Tribolium castaneum: one gene and its partners. Each later gene encodes a partner of the first gene's protein in a complex. Links are inferred from orthologs where the notes say so. Each region holds a gene or a part of one and is shown in the gene's direction. Other genes may lie near its edges.

Region 1 (4,100 bases):
AGGTCGCGGTCACGGTTACCTTGTCTGTGTAGCAAGATCACTGTCTTCAAATTAAATATAAAAAACTTTTATTGCATAAGTAAATTGGTAGTCAAAAACTTTGACTTAGCAGGTGGCTAGGTGTAACATTTTCAATAAATCTTTTTGCATTTTGAATTTTCTTGTTCTTGTCTCGACAGATTCACTTGTATGCAGAATATTTTGCAATTTACATTTTAGTCGGATTTATAACTCATTATGAAATCAAGATTTAATTTAAAATTAAAATTTTGAGCTACACCTGACTCAAAATATTTATATTCATTAGATTGTTCATATGCATAGTACCTGTTATATAGTTCTATTGTTTAATGTTCTTACAATTAGTGCACTTACTAAAGACCTATAACCAAGGGCAAAAAGCTCAAATACTTAAGGATATGTAAAATATCTAAATATCTTCGCTTGAAAAATAAAAAAATCGTCACAAAAAATAAAAGTAACTGTAAAAATGATAAATCGATCAACCTAATTTTAAAATTTTTCTCTTATTTTTTTATAAGAACAGCTGCCCATAAACACACAAATCTATGCGTTTGGAACGCAGTTCAAACATGCGGTTTTATCGTTTTACCGTTGTTGTCTACTAACACAAAATAAGTCTTCCAAATTAATTTATCCTATGCAAATCCAGATCTTGACTTGACGAAAGTTTTGTACCAAAAGACTACATTTGTTTTCTAGTGTTTTTCTTTAATTTTTTTCGAAAGTGTCTACCTAAATTTTGTATTTTTGCTTTAAGACAATATAATTTTTTTTAATTTTTTTGTGTTCTCTTTACTTTTGATATTGTCGTGTGATTGTCATTGCAATTCCCGGACCAGGAATCACAATTTTCTGACACAAAATGTAATGTTTTTCTGAATGACTTATTAAATTTTTTTATAGAGGAGAAAAAATAGTACCTATACTTATATTATTCGGAGTATAGGCGCTTTATGTGCTTCGGATAATTGAGACAAATTCATCTATCAGCTTCAGCACAAAAAATATGTTATACCCCTGATACAGTTTGGACTTTTTAGCAGAAAAAAAGATTTTCAAAAAGATTGGTTTATTTGAAAAAAAAGATACGTTGCTTACATATAAGGCTCATTATTCCACATTAATGAATAATAATTATTGAGTAACTTATACCACTCTTTTGTGGTGAATAATGACGGCAAACAAAACTTTTAAAACGGGGATTTTTAAAATGTATTAAAAAAATGTTTAATATAGATAACCAACAATACACTTTATGAAATTAGGATAGGTCTTGCGCAGTTGTACCACCCGGGAGGTGCGGTTTGTCCTCCCGATGAGTGTGTTTGGTTTATGATAGTGATTGAAAAACTGTCATTTATCATATTCAAAGGTGTGGTTTTTATTTCATTTCCTCGGCCAAACAGTAAATTCCTTTCCAAATTGCCTGTTATTTTTTATTAACACATAATAGTCAATATGACTGGGAGGTTACCAGCTTGTGTTATCGACGTCGGCACAGGGTACGTCCACTCATAACCAAACTTTTTGCAACATTAACAACTTCCCTAATTTCCAGTTACACCAAATTAGGCTTCGCCAATAATAAAGAACCACAATTTATAATACCCTCCGCTATAGCAATAAAAGAAACCGCCAAAGTCGGCGATCAATCCAGTCGAAGACTGTGCAAAGGTGTTGAAGATTTAGATTTCTTTATAGGCGATGAAGCCTTCGACGCTACCGGATATGCAGTCAAAGTAAAGCGGTTTCTTGCCTTTTAATCTCACTTAAACGACTTGTTTTTCAAGTATCCTGTTCGCCATGGGTTAGTGGAGGATTGGGATTTGATGGAAAGGTTTCTAGAGCAGTGTATTTTTAAATACCTGCGAGCCGAACCGGAAGATCACTACTTCTTATTGACTGAACCACCATTGAACACCCCCGAAAATAGGGAATATACAGCCGAAATTATGTTTGAATCGTTCAATGTACCTGGCTTATATATTGCTGTGCAAGCTGTCTTAGCTTTAGCGGCCAGTTGGGTTGGCCGCAGTATCGAAGAAAGAACTCTTACAGGCATCGTCATCGACAGTGGAGACGGTGTCACACACGTTATTCCAGTGGTAAAAATATGATTCCGTATTTTAAACACATTTTTTCTTAATAGAGAATGATTGAGTCAGAAAAACAACCAATGTTACTCTCTTGCTTTTAGTGACACTTTTAGATCAGATCTAATAGTTTTCTGAATCTTTATTACTTTTACACATGGAGTATTTTTTAAAACGTTTAAAAAACTAAAATAGAACACAAATTTTGTCTGATTTTCTAATTTTGAGTATTATAAACTTTGAATAAGTTTTTAAAAAATAAATACGAACATTTGGAACAGTTTCATTAGGAAATGTTTTCATGTGAGCACCATACATGGGGCAGGTTTAGAGATCATTTAATTGCAATAAAATTTTAACTTGTGACATTGCCATTTTTTTGTTAATACAATGAAAATTTTATTCCAATTAGCACCAAACCTTAACTAAATTTTAATTCTCCTTCTGTACACCAGGCCTTAGGTCGAGTTGTATAAACTCTAGTATAAATTAAGTAAATCAGGATTATACAACTCGACCTTGAGTAACAGAATATGTCTACAACAGTTTATTCACAATGCTGTGGACAATATGGATACGTAAAGTACCAAACAATTTTCTATCGAAGAAAACAACGATTTGAACACCGATTTAGAGGAAAAACACATAATTTCGGCCAATTTTTTGCCCTAAAATGGCAAAATCAGTTGCAGAATTCCTTCAATAGTTAGTAACTGGCTCAAAACGCAGAATTGAACATTTTTTTTAATTAGTTGAATTTAGACGGTTTTTTGCTCGAAAATGTGAAATGTGAAGCTTGAAGTCTCTTTATTCTGACCCCAAACCATTTGGACACCAGTTTAAGTAAAAATCTTTGGTTTTTGACGATTCTTTGTTTAAAAACAATAAAACTTTCGTAGAGAGTCTTTGAAAGTACGGTTTATGCTCCATTTTGAATAAATAAAACGCACCATTTTGTACAGTTTCTTGCTTAAAAACGAGAAAACTTGCATAGAAAAGGCTAAAAATGGTTTATTCTAGTCGGAAACAACGGTTTATTAACCAATTTGCATAAAAACGGTCAGAATAAGCTGTTTTCAGCCACTTTTGTCAGATAAAATACACCGAGGGGTTGAAATTTTCTACAGTAGCAGAACGCTATATCGACGACTCAGTTGCTCAAAAAATAGCTACGTCAAGAAAAAAATTGGCAGATGAAAATTCTTATAAAAGGCCTAGAACTTTTACTGTACTTAAACCTAACGAAAGTAGAGTCAACTTTGTTGCTTTAATCATCATCGACTTAGTAATAGTACAATTAACATTTACCTAAAGAAATAACTTTGTGGAAAATTGAAAAAAATTGACACGTGAATAAAAAATTCTTATGCATTCAAAAACTATTTTTCTTGGATAAAATAAATAAATATGGGTTTACGTGTGATGATGAGCTTCTTCCCTTTGTTATTAATGCCACAATGAAAATATATGGTAAAATTCTAGACTCGTCTTTTCTTATTCTTAATTATTTAGCAATATTTTTTATTAAGATTGTTAATAATTAGATTGAACTTTTAGGCCGAAGGCTATGTTATCGGTAGTTGTATCAAACACATTCCCATCGCCGGTCGCAACATCACCTACTTCATCCAGTCGCTTCTCCGCGAGCGCGAAATCGGCATCCCCCCCGAGCAGTCCCTCGAAACCGCCAAAGCGATCAAAGAACGCCACTGCTACATTTGCCCCGACATCGCAAAGGAGTTTGCGAAATACGACGCAGACCCGGCCAAATGGATGAAAAAATACGAGGGGATGAACTCGGTTACCAAACAGCCTTTCAGCGTGGACGTCGGCTACGAGAGGTTCCTGGGACCAGAGATTTTCTTTCATCCCGAATTTTCCAACCCAGACTTCACCATCCCGCTGTCCCAGATCGTGGACGACGTTATCCAAAACTGCCCCATTGATGTGCGGAGGCCCATGTACAATAATATCGTTCTGTCG
Region 2 (4,188 bases), on another chromosome or scaffold:
AAATTTTAAATTGTGTGAAAAATTACTATAATAGAGAAAAAAAGCCTCTGTATCCAATGGAACAAACCGCACTGCTCTACGACTTTTAGTTTTCGAGTTATGAATTTTTTTAATGAAAAAAATTTTTCACTATGACAAATGGCTACCCTAAATTTAGGCAAAAAATTTTAAATTTTTAATTCTTGTGAAAAATTGATATAATATGTAAAATGAGCCGTAGAATTCAATCGAACAAACCGCAATGCTCTACGACTTTTAGTTTTTTTTTTATGAATTTTTTTAGTGAAAAACTTTGATCGCCTCTGTAGCCGGAACCGTTGCCCGGAGAGGCTCCGGGTTTGGTCGAAAAAATAGATAAAATTACGCGCTATTAGATGGTTTTTTGTTCGTTGCTCTAGGTCTTACAGTTTCCGAGAAAAACGCAAAAAAAGGTTTTCATTTTCACTTTTTTTCAATTTTCAATCGCCAATTACGACGAAACTATTAAAGATATCGAGAAACGGAAAAATGAAGGATAACCGGAATAAAAAACTCTACAAAATGGCATAGGACTTAAGGCGATATCTCGCAATAAAATTTTCAATTTTCAAACGCCGATTACGGCCAAACTAAAAGAGCTAGAAGAAAACGGTTTGTTCCATTGTAAAGAGCACATCAAAATCTATAAGATAAAATAGGTTTTATTTGATTTTGAGACACTTTAAAAATTGACCGATTTTAAGGGGGGGGTGTTAACTTTTTTTTAATTTTTTTTATTTTTTTATTTACTACTAAACTATTCCAAAAAGTGGAAGTTTTTTGATCCATACCTATGCAAAATGATCCGGGGAATCGATTGGCATCGAGAAAATTGCCAAATTCCCAATAGTTTTTTAGTTATGAATTTTTAAAAATTTTACCAATTTTTGCATTTAGCAGCAATTTGCTCGAAAACTATTAGTCGGAGAACAATAATCTTTTTTGAAAAAAATAGATAATTTAAAGAGCTTTCCAACGATGGGACACTTCATAGAGTTATCTCTAATAGTTCCGGAGCTATTGCTCGAGAAATGTTCCGGGTACCCAAAACCGACAAAAACTGCGACGAAAATTGAAAAAATCAAACATCAAAAAAAAGAACATTTGGACTTTTTGTGGACTTTTAACAACTTTTGTGGGTTGTTAAGACATGTAGAAGTCCATAAAAATTTGCTGGAGTGATTTAAAAAATTTTTTTTTTATTTTTGTGAAGATAACTACTCAAATTTTAAGCAAAAAATTTCAAAATTTTTAACCTTGCAAAAAACAGGTATAAAACGTGAAATAATGTGTCGCAGAATTCACTGGACCAAGTATTTTATTTAAGTTTGGCGCTCTGTTTAAGCGACAGACCTACTAACTTACCGACCCAGTAAATGCCAGTTGACAGACAGACAGTCAGCCACAGCACCTCCCATGAGCAGTCAGACCTAGTAAATGTATTTTTTTAGTTAAAAACCACAATTCCCAATCATTTAAAATGATTTTGCTTGAGACAAACAATCGGGTAGTTGAAGAGACATTAACCGTGAAGATAAAAAGTGCCCAAGCCGGGTAAGTCCCTTATTTACATTAAAAAACCGACCGGTAGTTTCGGGGTGAGGCTTTTATCGCCAAATTCAGGCGCAACTTTATCACCAGCATTATCTAAACTCGGCTCACAAGGAAAATCTCCCAAACCATTGAAACCAGCCTATCTTTCCAGGTTAAAAAACGAGTCAATCGACATAACAGTATCGGACTTCGACGGTGTTTTGTACCACATTTCAAACCTAAACGGAGACAAAACCAAAATTAGGGTAAGCCCACCCCCGAGTAACCCCACATAAGCGCCCCATTCCAGATAAGCATTTCCCTCAAATTCTACAAAGAACTGCAAGAGCACGGCGCCGACCAGCTCCTCAAGCGCGAGTACGGCCCCCTTCTGGCCGCCCCTGAAGACGGCTACAACGTTTCGATCCTATTCGACCTTGAGAACATCCCGACTGATTGGCCCCAAGTCATCAAAAAAATCGGGCTTTTGAAGCGCAACTGCTTCGCTTCAGTGTTTGAGAAATACTTCGATTTTCAAGAAAACGGAGACGAGGGACAGAAACGTGCGGTGATTCACTACCGCGATGACGAAACAATGTACGTTGAGGCGAAGGCGGACCGAGTCACCGTCGTCTTTTCCACGCGTTTTCGGGACGAAGACGACGTGGTCATCGGGAAGGTGTTCATGCAGGAGCTCAAGGAGGGGCTCAGGGCGTCGCACACGGCGCCCCCCGTGCTCTTCAGCCACCGGGAGCCCCCCCGGGAGCTCCAGAACACCGACGCGAAGGTCGATAACAACGTGGGGTACGTCACTTTTGTCCTGTTCCCGAGACACACGGCAAGGACCACGAGGGACAACACAATAGATTTAATTCACATGTTTCGCCATTATCTACATTATCACATCAAATGCTCCAAGGCCTACATTCACAGTCGGATGAGGGCCAAGACGTCCGATTTCCTCAAGGTCCTGAACAGGGCCAGGCCGGAGAACAAGTCGACAGATAAGAAAACTATAACGTACGTCTTTTTGCTTTTTTAACAACTTATTAGGAGACGAAACGAAGTACAAAATCACAGGGTTTTTTCTCATATTTTTGCGTACGCTGCGAATACGGTTGAAGATACAAAAAAAGTGTAAGGAACAAAGTTGTAGAGAATTAAATTTCCTACAAAAAAGTCCGCGATACCATATTTCTATCTTTAACGGTTTAGCTATAAATTAACTCTCCGATACTTGGCAACCGGTAAAATGAAACAAATCCGTCGCTTGAGCGTCTTTGGACCACTTTGGGGCCAAAATGGTTGAAGATATGGATATGGTCTCGCGGACTTTTTTTTAGCAAATTCAATTCTCTACAACTTTCTTCCTTACACTTTTTTTGTATCTTCAACCGTATTCGCACCGTTTTGAAAAATATGGGGGAGTGCAAATTGGTAAAAGTTTGACATTTTTTTAATTACAGTTTACGATAAATTTTGCTTATGTTGAGAATTTAATGCTTCATCTGTCTGTATTTTTTGTTTTACTAACATAACCAAGGAACAACTGCGCTCTCTGGCGACACTGACGGAACTATCGAGAACGGAGCGTTTTATTTGTACGTCGTTTCGTATCCTAACTTTTAGACATCCGTATCATAATTTAATTGATTGATTTGTTACAGAGGGAGAACTTTCGTTCGACGGGATTGATGTGTATAGTACTAGTGAACTTTGCTTGTAAGATCAGCTCAAAAAAGGACTAATAACTGCCGACAATTTATTAAACTTAACTGTTTCATTCAATTTTCCCATCAGTCAGTTCTTGCACAGCCTCTCTTGCAGTTTATTTATTAAGTCAATCAATTGGTTCATTCAGTACTGAATGCTACAGTTCAGTTAATAGAAGTGCTGATTTTTCAGCTACTTGTGTACATAGATTCAATCTTTTAACCATGTGCTTCCTTTGAAATATGGGTAAGCACATCAATATTGTGAATTATATATTTCTAATACAAAGTTTAATTACATATTTTTTACCCAGTTTGCGAGACGTGTTTTAGGTTTTTTACTATGTATCCGCTTGTTGTTATCATTTTGATTCGGAACGATCCTTTTTACTATTGAGAACTTGAACCGCCAAATAAATTGTATAACTTAACATAGTTTAATAGGTAATAAATGAATCGTCAATTTCTATAGCAGGTTGCAATATTTTCGGATTTCTGTAGGCAATTGGACGCATTCTTCATGCTCATTTCATTTTTATATTACATTAACAGAGCAAGACACTGTTTAATTCAATAATAGAAAATAAAATGTTATTTTAAAGTCTGTGTATCATTTTTTTACCAACTCGAAAACGTGTGGCGACACTTGATTGAACTTTATTAAGCCAGGATGGCCAACTCAAGCAGTCATTTTGGATGACTTGCTACTAACGCGAAATTCCTATTATTTTAAATTATTAAAGGAATTTCAAAAGACTGTATTGAGAGTATCAATAATTGGGTGGGAGCAGCAAACACGCACAATTTTATTTGTAATTTTATTAATCATTTTCGTGCGTTACAGATTCTACAGTAGCGAATTTCTCGCCTGAGACTGACAATAAACCTAACCCTACAATTCCACATTTTTTATTATTCACCGTTA
Region 3 (2,416 bases), on another chromosome or scaffold:
AAAGTTTACTGAAAAACTTAGTAAAATTGACAAATTCCTTATTATGAAAAAGTAATAACATTATATAATTATGGTCAACATATTTTTAACATGTTTTGTCTTGATGTTTAACAGTTTTGTGACTAGGATATTAATTATAAGTTATAACTTATAACCTTTTTAACCTTAATCGTACCTAATTGCCATGTCAGTATTTTGATTTTTTATTAATAATTGTAAGTAAAGTATCAATATATAACAAATGTTCATTACAAAAAAAAAACTAGAGTGCTGTGAAATTAAAAAATAATTGTTTTGTGATTAATTCATTCTCCCATAAACTTACTTTTTGGAAATTAAAAATATAACAGATGTTCATAAAAGTTAATATTATTCATAAAAAATGTCGGAAATGTCTTTTTTGTTGTTCAAAACATAACACATAGCCTTTGAAGACTATTTATGAATCTTGGGTTATAAATTCTATTGAGCTGGTTTAGTAGGCAACCAACAATATAATGGAAAAATTGTACTACGACATCCGTAAAAATGTCAAGGCAGAAAGATAACAGAGTTAGTAATTAATTGCTGTTATATTGTTTTTTTTTTTTTATTTTTTAGCCTAATGATGTTTATTATATAAACGAAACGTTGCAACTCGTTGATTTATTTAAAACTTTTTAAGGAAAAAATTTCAAATTTTGCGTTCACGCGTTCAGAGATCTCAGTACAGTTTATCCTTAATACCAAGCATCTCTGCTTAGCATTTATAATATTTTATTTAAAAGATGACTATTATTTACCTAGCAGTTTATTATTATCAAAAATCAAAACGCCTGTGAATTATGCAACCAACAATACAAACGCCACTAGTCCACTACTACTAAAAACTTATTTAATGTCGAAAAACGAACATTATGACTACAATACCGAAAACAATTCAATACCAAACATCCAAAAATTATGTTTTTCCCCCCAATTAAAGTTTCACTTACCGGTTACTTCGTTCAAACTCATGCCAGGCTCGCCCGGATTTACGTTGATGTAGTCGCCTTTCGACGTGCTTTTTAAGCGGTTTTGCCCACATGCTCGCAGGAAAATCGAGGGGCGACCTGAGACTGTTATGAAACCAAATTGAGGTTATGTCGTTCGACACAAAAAAACCGAACGCAAAACAACGAAAACACAAACCCGGCAGTAGCTACGTACCTGATCTACTCAGACTGTACAATTTAAGGGCCCCGGACATGTTTTTGATTGTTTTTTTCGAAATTAAAGCAACTTTTTTGACATTACGCACCTTACGTCAATGTCAAAATCGCTGCGCCATCTGGCGGATAATAATTTGTGTTGACAAATTGACAATTGTATGTCAGAGAGGTGTGGTGTTATCACTGTTATCAGTCGTAATTTTGCTCAAAAAAGCGGTAATGTCGGCGACGCTACGGCCCTACTTAACGGCGGTGCGGCACACCTTAACGGCCGCCATGTGCCTGGAGAACTTCTCCTCCCAGGTGGTGGAAAGGCACAACAAGCCGGAGGTTGAGGTTAGGTCCAGTAAGGAGCTGCTGTTGACTCCCGTCGTGATCTCGCGCAACGAGAAGGAAAAGGTGTTCATAGAGACGTCAGTGAACTCGGTCCGTATCAGTATAGCCGTGAAACAAGCGGACGAAATCGAGAAAATCCTCTGCAAGAAGTTCATGCGGTTTATGATGATGAGGGCGGAGAATTTCGTGGTTTTGCGGCGGAAGCCCATCGAGGGCTACGATATTAGCTTCCTGATTACGAATTTCCACACGGAGCAGATGTACAAACATAAGTTGGTCGATTTTGTGATTCATTTCATGGAGGAAATTGATAAAGAAGTGTCGGAAATGAAGTTGGCGGTGAATGCGAGGGCTCGAATAGTTTCGGAGGAGTTTTTGAAGAGGTTTTGAGGAGAGCGAGAGTGGACATGTGTACATAAGTTCTAGGTTTATCCAGCAGGAAGATTTATTTATTCCTAATTTCAAATACGAATTCTATTTTTACTTATTATATTGTTTCGCCAATAAATCGATCATTTTATTAAGAAAAATGTTTTTTTGTTGTTTGGACCACTGGGTCACTGGTACTACCAACCTCGAACACGAAAAACACCAAAGCCAATTTGGGGGCATTTCAGATAAAGCGTCCAATTAAGCAATAAATAATAAAATATATAAAATGAAGCTTTATATACTTATGAAAAATTCACTGTTCTTTTTAACTCTGAAATCGGATTCAAAATTTGATTTTTTAGTGTAGAAAGCCGGAAGTGAAATTTCAAATCAGAATTTCAGTAACTTGGACTTTTTTTTCAAAAAAAATAGCTGAAAGTAAATAGATTAAACACATAAGTGGCAAAATAGGATCTCTATTCCTTTAGGAGTACGTAATGTTCACAAAAGCGCGTTAT
Region 4 (2,604 bases), on another chromosome or scaffold:
AAACGAAGGAACAAATTCTTTTTCTGTGATAACTCCTACTTACATGACTTAACTACTTCACTTTTCCTACTTTTTGTGCAATTGAACGAATTCGGCGGTTTGTAAATAACTTGTGATTTTTTTAAGTTTAAGTCTCATCCACGTGTACCTTTTTTATCGTATAGGTTGCTTTAAGAGGAATAAAAACCGATAGAAAAGTAGGTTTAGTTTAGTATTTTGTGTTATTGTTTTATATAAAAAAAAGTATAAATTGGAATAAACACTCTAGGGAATTTTATTCGTCGTCCTGTTCCTCGAAATCACGTGTCCTGACGTCCTGATCCTCGCCATACTGTATCACGTTGTCAATGGTCACCAAAATGTCACTCACACTTTCGTGGTTTTTCAAATTGAGGGGGAAAAACCTGACTAGGGAATAATTCTCAATTAAATCCCCTATGGCTTCAGACAATTTTTTGTATTTCTCATTGAAGGCATTCATGCCACTTAACTCAATATCCCCCAGAATGGCATGCGAATCAGGCTCGAGGAACCTATCGAGGCGCTTGCGCGCCCCCTTGCTCAACAAATCCATTTTCGACAACAAATTCACATGAGGCAGCTCTAAATTAACCATGACACTGAGTGCAGCCATGGTGCCCGACAAAAACTTGGCCCCGTCTGTCATAAACTGAACGTCCACCAAAAAAATACTACAAATATTAAAATTCCAGTCTTGTAACAACTTGACTAATTTTTTCATAGCTGTTAAGTGCGTGTATAGTTCGATTTGACCCGGACAGTCAAACAAAATATAATCGTCCTCCTCCTCCCCCAACTTGTCTCGCAACCAGTCGGAGTTCTCCAGCAGGTACTCCAGGCAAAAGACAAGCCCCCCGTTGGGGCCAAAGTGCAACTCTTCGTCCTCCATGGTGTCCTGCACGTGGATTAACTCGCGGATGTCGGCACGTGGCTCGTAGTCGAAGTGTTCGGCCGCTGGGTCCAAATTTACCACTTCTATGGTGCGTTTTGCGTCGACTGCGTGTTGCACCAAAGCCGAACAATACGTCGACTAACAATTAAATTAGCCAAATTGTGCTACAATAACAAATAATTACCTTGCCACTGCCCGCGGGGCCAATAACTAGCTGCGCGTACCGCATTTTTACAAAAAACAAACGCAAAAAATTAGGTTAGGTAACGACCAGTGTTACCACCATGCAATAAGTGAGGTTGTGTTGTGACCCAAAAGTGGCGTTTTTCGCCCAAAACCGGTGTTTTTGTGTGTTTTTTTACCAAAAGTGCGATTTTGTGGGGCTCTTGCCCGTTTAAGTGGGGGTTTTGGGGCCCTAGTGTTCATACATTGTGGCAGTGTTCTGCATTACCGACGTGACTAATCTGGGAGGTTTGGTGAAATTTCTGTGGAAAAACCATGCCGGTGCGTTTGATAGCCCCCTTGTGTGCCGTTTGGTGTGATTTGTGGTTTCAGGCGTACCATTCGGCGTTTTTGGAGCACCAACAATCGGTCGGTAACACTGCCATTTTGCCGTTTAAAACACAATTTCGGGGGCCAGCGCCCCCATTTGGGGGGCAACCCGGCGACCAGGATATCATAGACGAGGCGCTTTATTACTTCAAGGCCAATGTTTTTTTCCGCACTTATGAGATCAAGGTGAGCCCCACTTGTGACAATCGGCACAAAAACGCCCTTTTCAGTCGGAGGCCGACCGTTTGTTGATTTACATCACCCTGTACATTACCGAGTGTCTCAAAAAACTGCAAAGGTGTGCGAACCGCAACCAGGGCCAGAATGAGATGTACACTTTGGCCATTTCCCGGTTTGATATCCCGGGGGATCCAGGGTTTCCCCTGAATTCGGTGTATAGTAAGGCGAAGTCGCCCGCCGATGCTGAGTTCCTGAGGGCGTACTTAACCCAGTTGAGGCAGGAAGTGGGGCTGCGGGTCGTCGATCGGGTCTTTGGGGAGGACGGGAAGCCGAGTAAATGGTGGCTGTGTTTTGCCAAAAAGAAGTTCATGGATAAGTCGCTCTCAGGGCCGGGACAATGAATTTGCCAATTTTTTAATTATTTGATTCTGTATTGTATTAATAAACCATTTTTTTTTATTGTTGTGTTTGGTTTGTTTTCACGCGGTTTGTGAATGATATGTGATACATTATCGCATGGAACGCCCATACAGACCTTTAATCCGGATGCCGTTCGGGGGACACAACAATCTTGAAATTCAGTGATAAGAGGCTCATTAAAGCAGAGGCGCCTCGCGAAAGTCGCTGATTTTTTTTTAATTTTTTTCGCTTTCTCTTTAATTAATTACACAATTTTTCGGCTCAAAAACGACCGAAATTATTCTAAATAGGCAAAAAACGTTAATTTTTCTTAAGTTTTGTACAAAAAGACTTCTCAATAAAAAAAAATCGAGTGATGTCTAAGGACTAATACAACGGTTGTCTAAAGGTTAGGAGACGGAACGACGTACAAATAAAACGTTCCCATCTTCGTTAGTTCCGTTAAAGACGCTAGAGAGCGCAGTTGTTCCATTACCCAAGTTCCTTACACTGTCATTTTAGACATAACTCAGATTTATTAGCTTATTTTTTAAGAAATT

What was found. The genes of interacting proteins can lie anywhere in the genome.
Region 2: Arp3 (region 1) and Arpc2 share a complex: the UniProt entries of both Caenorhabditis elegans proteins name them as parts of the arp2/3 complex. The link is inferred for Tribolium castaneum from reciprocal best matches to the Caenorhabditis elegans genes arx-1 and arx-4.
Region 3: Arp3 (region 1) and Arpc4 share a complex: the UniProt entries of both Caenorhabditis elegans proteins name them as parts of the arp2/3 complex. The link is inferred for Tribolium castaneum from reciprocal best matches to the Caenorhabditis elegans genes arx-1 and arx-6.
Region 4: Arp3 (region 1) and actin-related protein 2/3 complex subunit 3-B share a complex: the UniProt entries of both Caenorhabditis elegans proteins name them as parts of the arp2/3 complex. The link is inferred for Tribolium castaneum from reciprocal best matches to the Caenorhabditis elegans genes arx-1 and arx-5.

What each region holds. Positions count from the first base shown.
Region 1 is NC_087394.1:30,789,615-30,793,714, forward strand, and holds the start of Arp3 (actin-related protein 3), read left to right. Parts: upstream 1-1,300; 5' UTR 1,301-1,482; coding exon 1,483-1,526; intron 1,527-1,582; coding exon 1,583-1,763; intron 1,764-1,814; coding exon 1,815-2,129; intron 2,130-3,674; coding exon 3,675-4,100. UniProt on the Caenorhabditis elegans protein: Functions as ATP-binding component of the Arp2/3 complex which is involved in regulation of actin polymerization and together with an activating nucleation-promoting factor (NPF) mediates the formation of branched actin networks.
Region 2 is NC_087399.1:3,469,734-3,473,921, reverse strand, and holds Arpc2 (probable actin-related protein 2/3 complex subunit 2), read left to right. Parts: upstream 1-1,388; 5' UTR 1,389-1,498; coding exon 1,499-1,572; intron 1,573-1,723; coding exon 1,724-1,817; intron 1,818-1,861; coding exon 1,862-2,571; intron 2,572-3,218; coding exon 3,219-3,246; 3' UTR 3,247-3,864; downstream 3,865-4,188. UniProt on the Caenorhabditis elegans protein: Functions as actin-binding component of the Arp2/3 complex which is involved in regulation of actin polymerization and together with an activating nucleation-promoting factor (NPF) mediates the formation of branched actin networks.
Region 3 is NC_087401.1:12,843,790-12,846,205, reverse strand, and holds Arpc4 (actin-related protein 2/3 complex subunit 4), read left to right. Parts: upstream 1-1,409; coding exon 1,410-1,916; downstream 1,917-2,416. Other genes in the region: ND-23 (NADH:ubiquinone reductase 23kD subunit), read right to left, coding at 975-1,097, 1,189-1,228. UniProt on the Caenorhabditis elegans protein: Functions as actin-binding component of the Arp2/3 complex which is involved in regulation of actin polymerization and together with an activating nucleation-promoting factor (NPF) mediates the formation of branched actin networks.
Region 4 is NC_087401.1:15,949,768-15,952,371, reverse strand, and holds actin-related protein 2/3 complex subunit 3-B, read left to right. Parts: upstream 1-1,276; 5' UTR 1,277-1,411; coding exon 1,412-1,417; intron 1,418-1,468; coding exon 1,469-1,651; intron 1,652-1,695; coding exon 1,696-2,046; 3' UTR 2,047-2,104; downstream 2,105-2,604. Other genes in the region: GPN-loop GTPase 3, read right to left, coding at 275-1,051, 1,098-1,142. UniProt on the Caenorhabditis elegans protein: Functions as a component of the Arp2/3 complex which is involved in regulation of actin polymerization and together with an activating nucleation-promoting factor (NPF) mediates the formation of branched actin networks.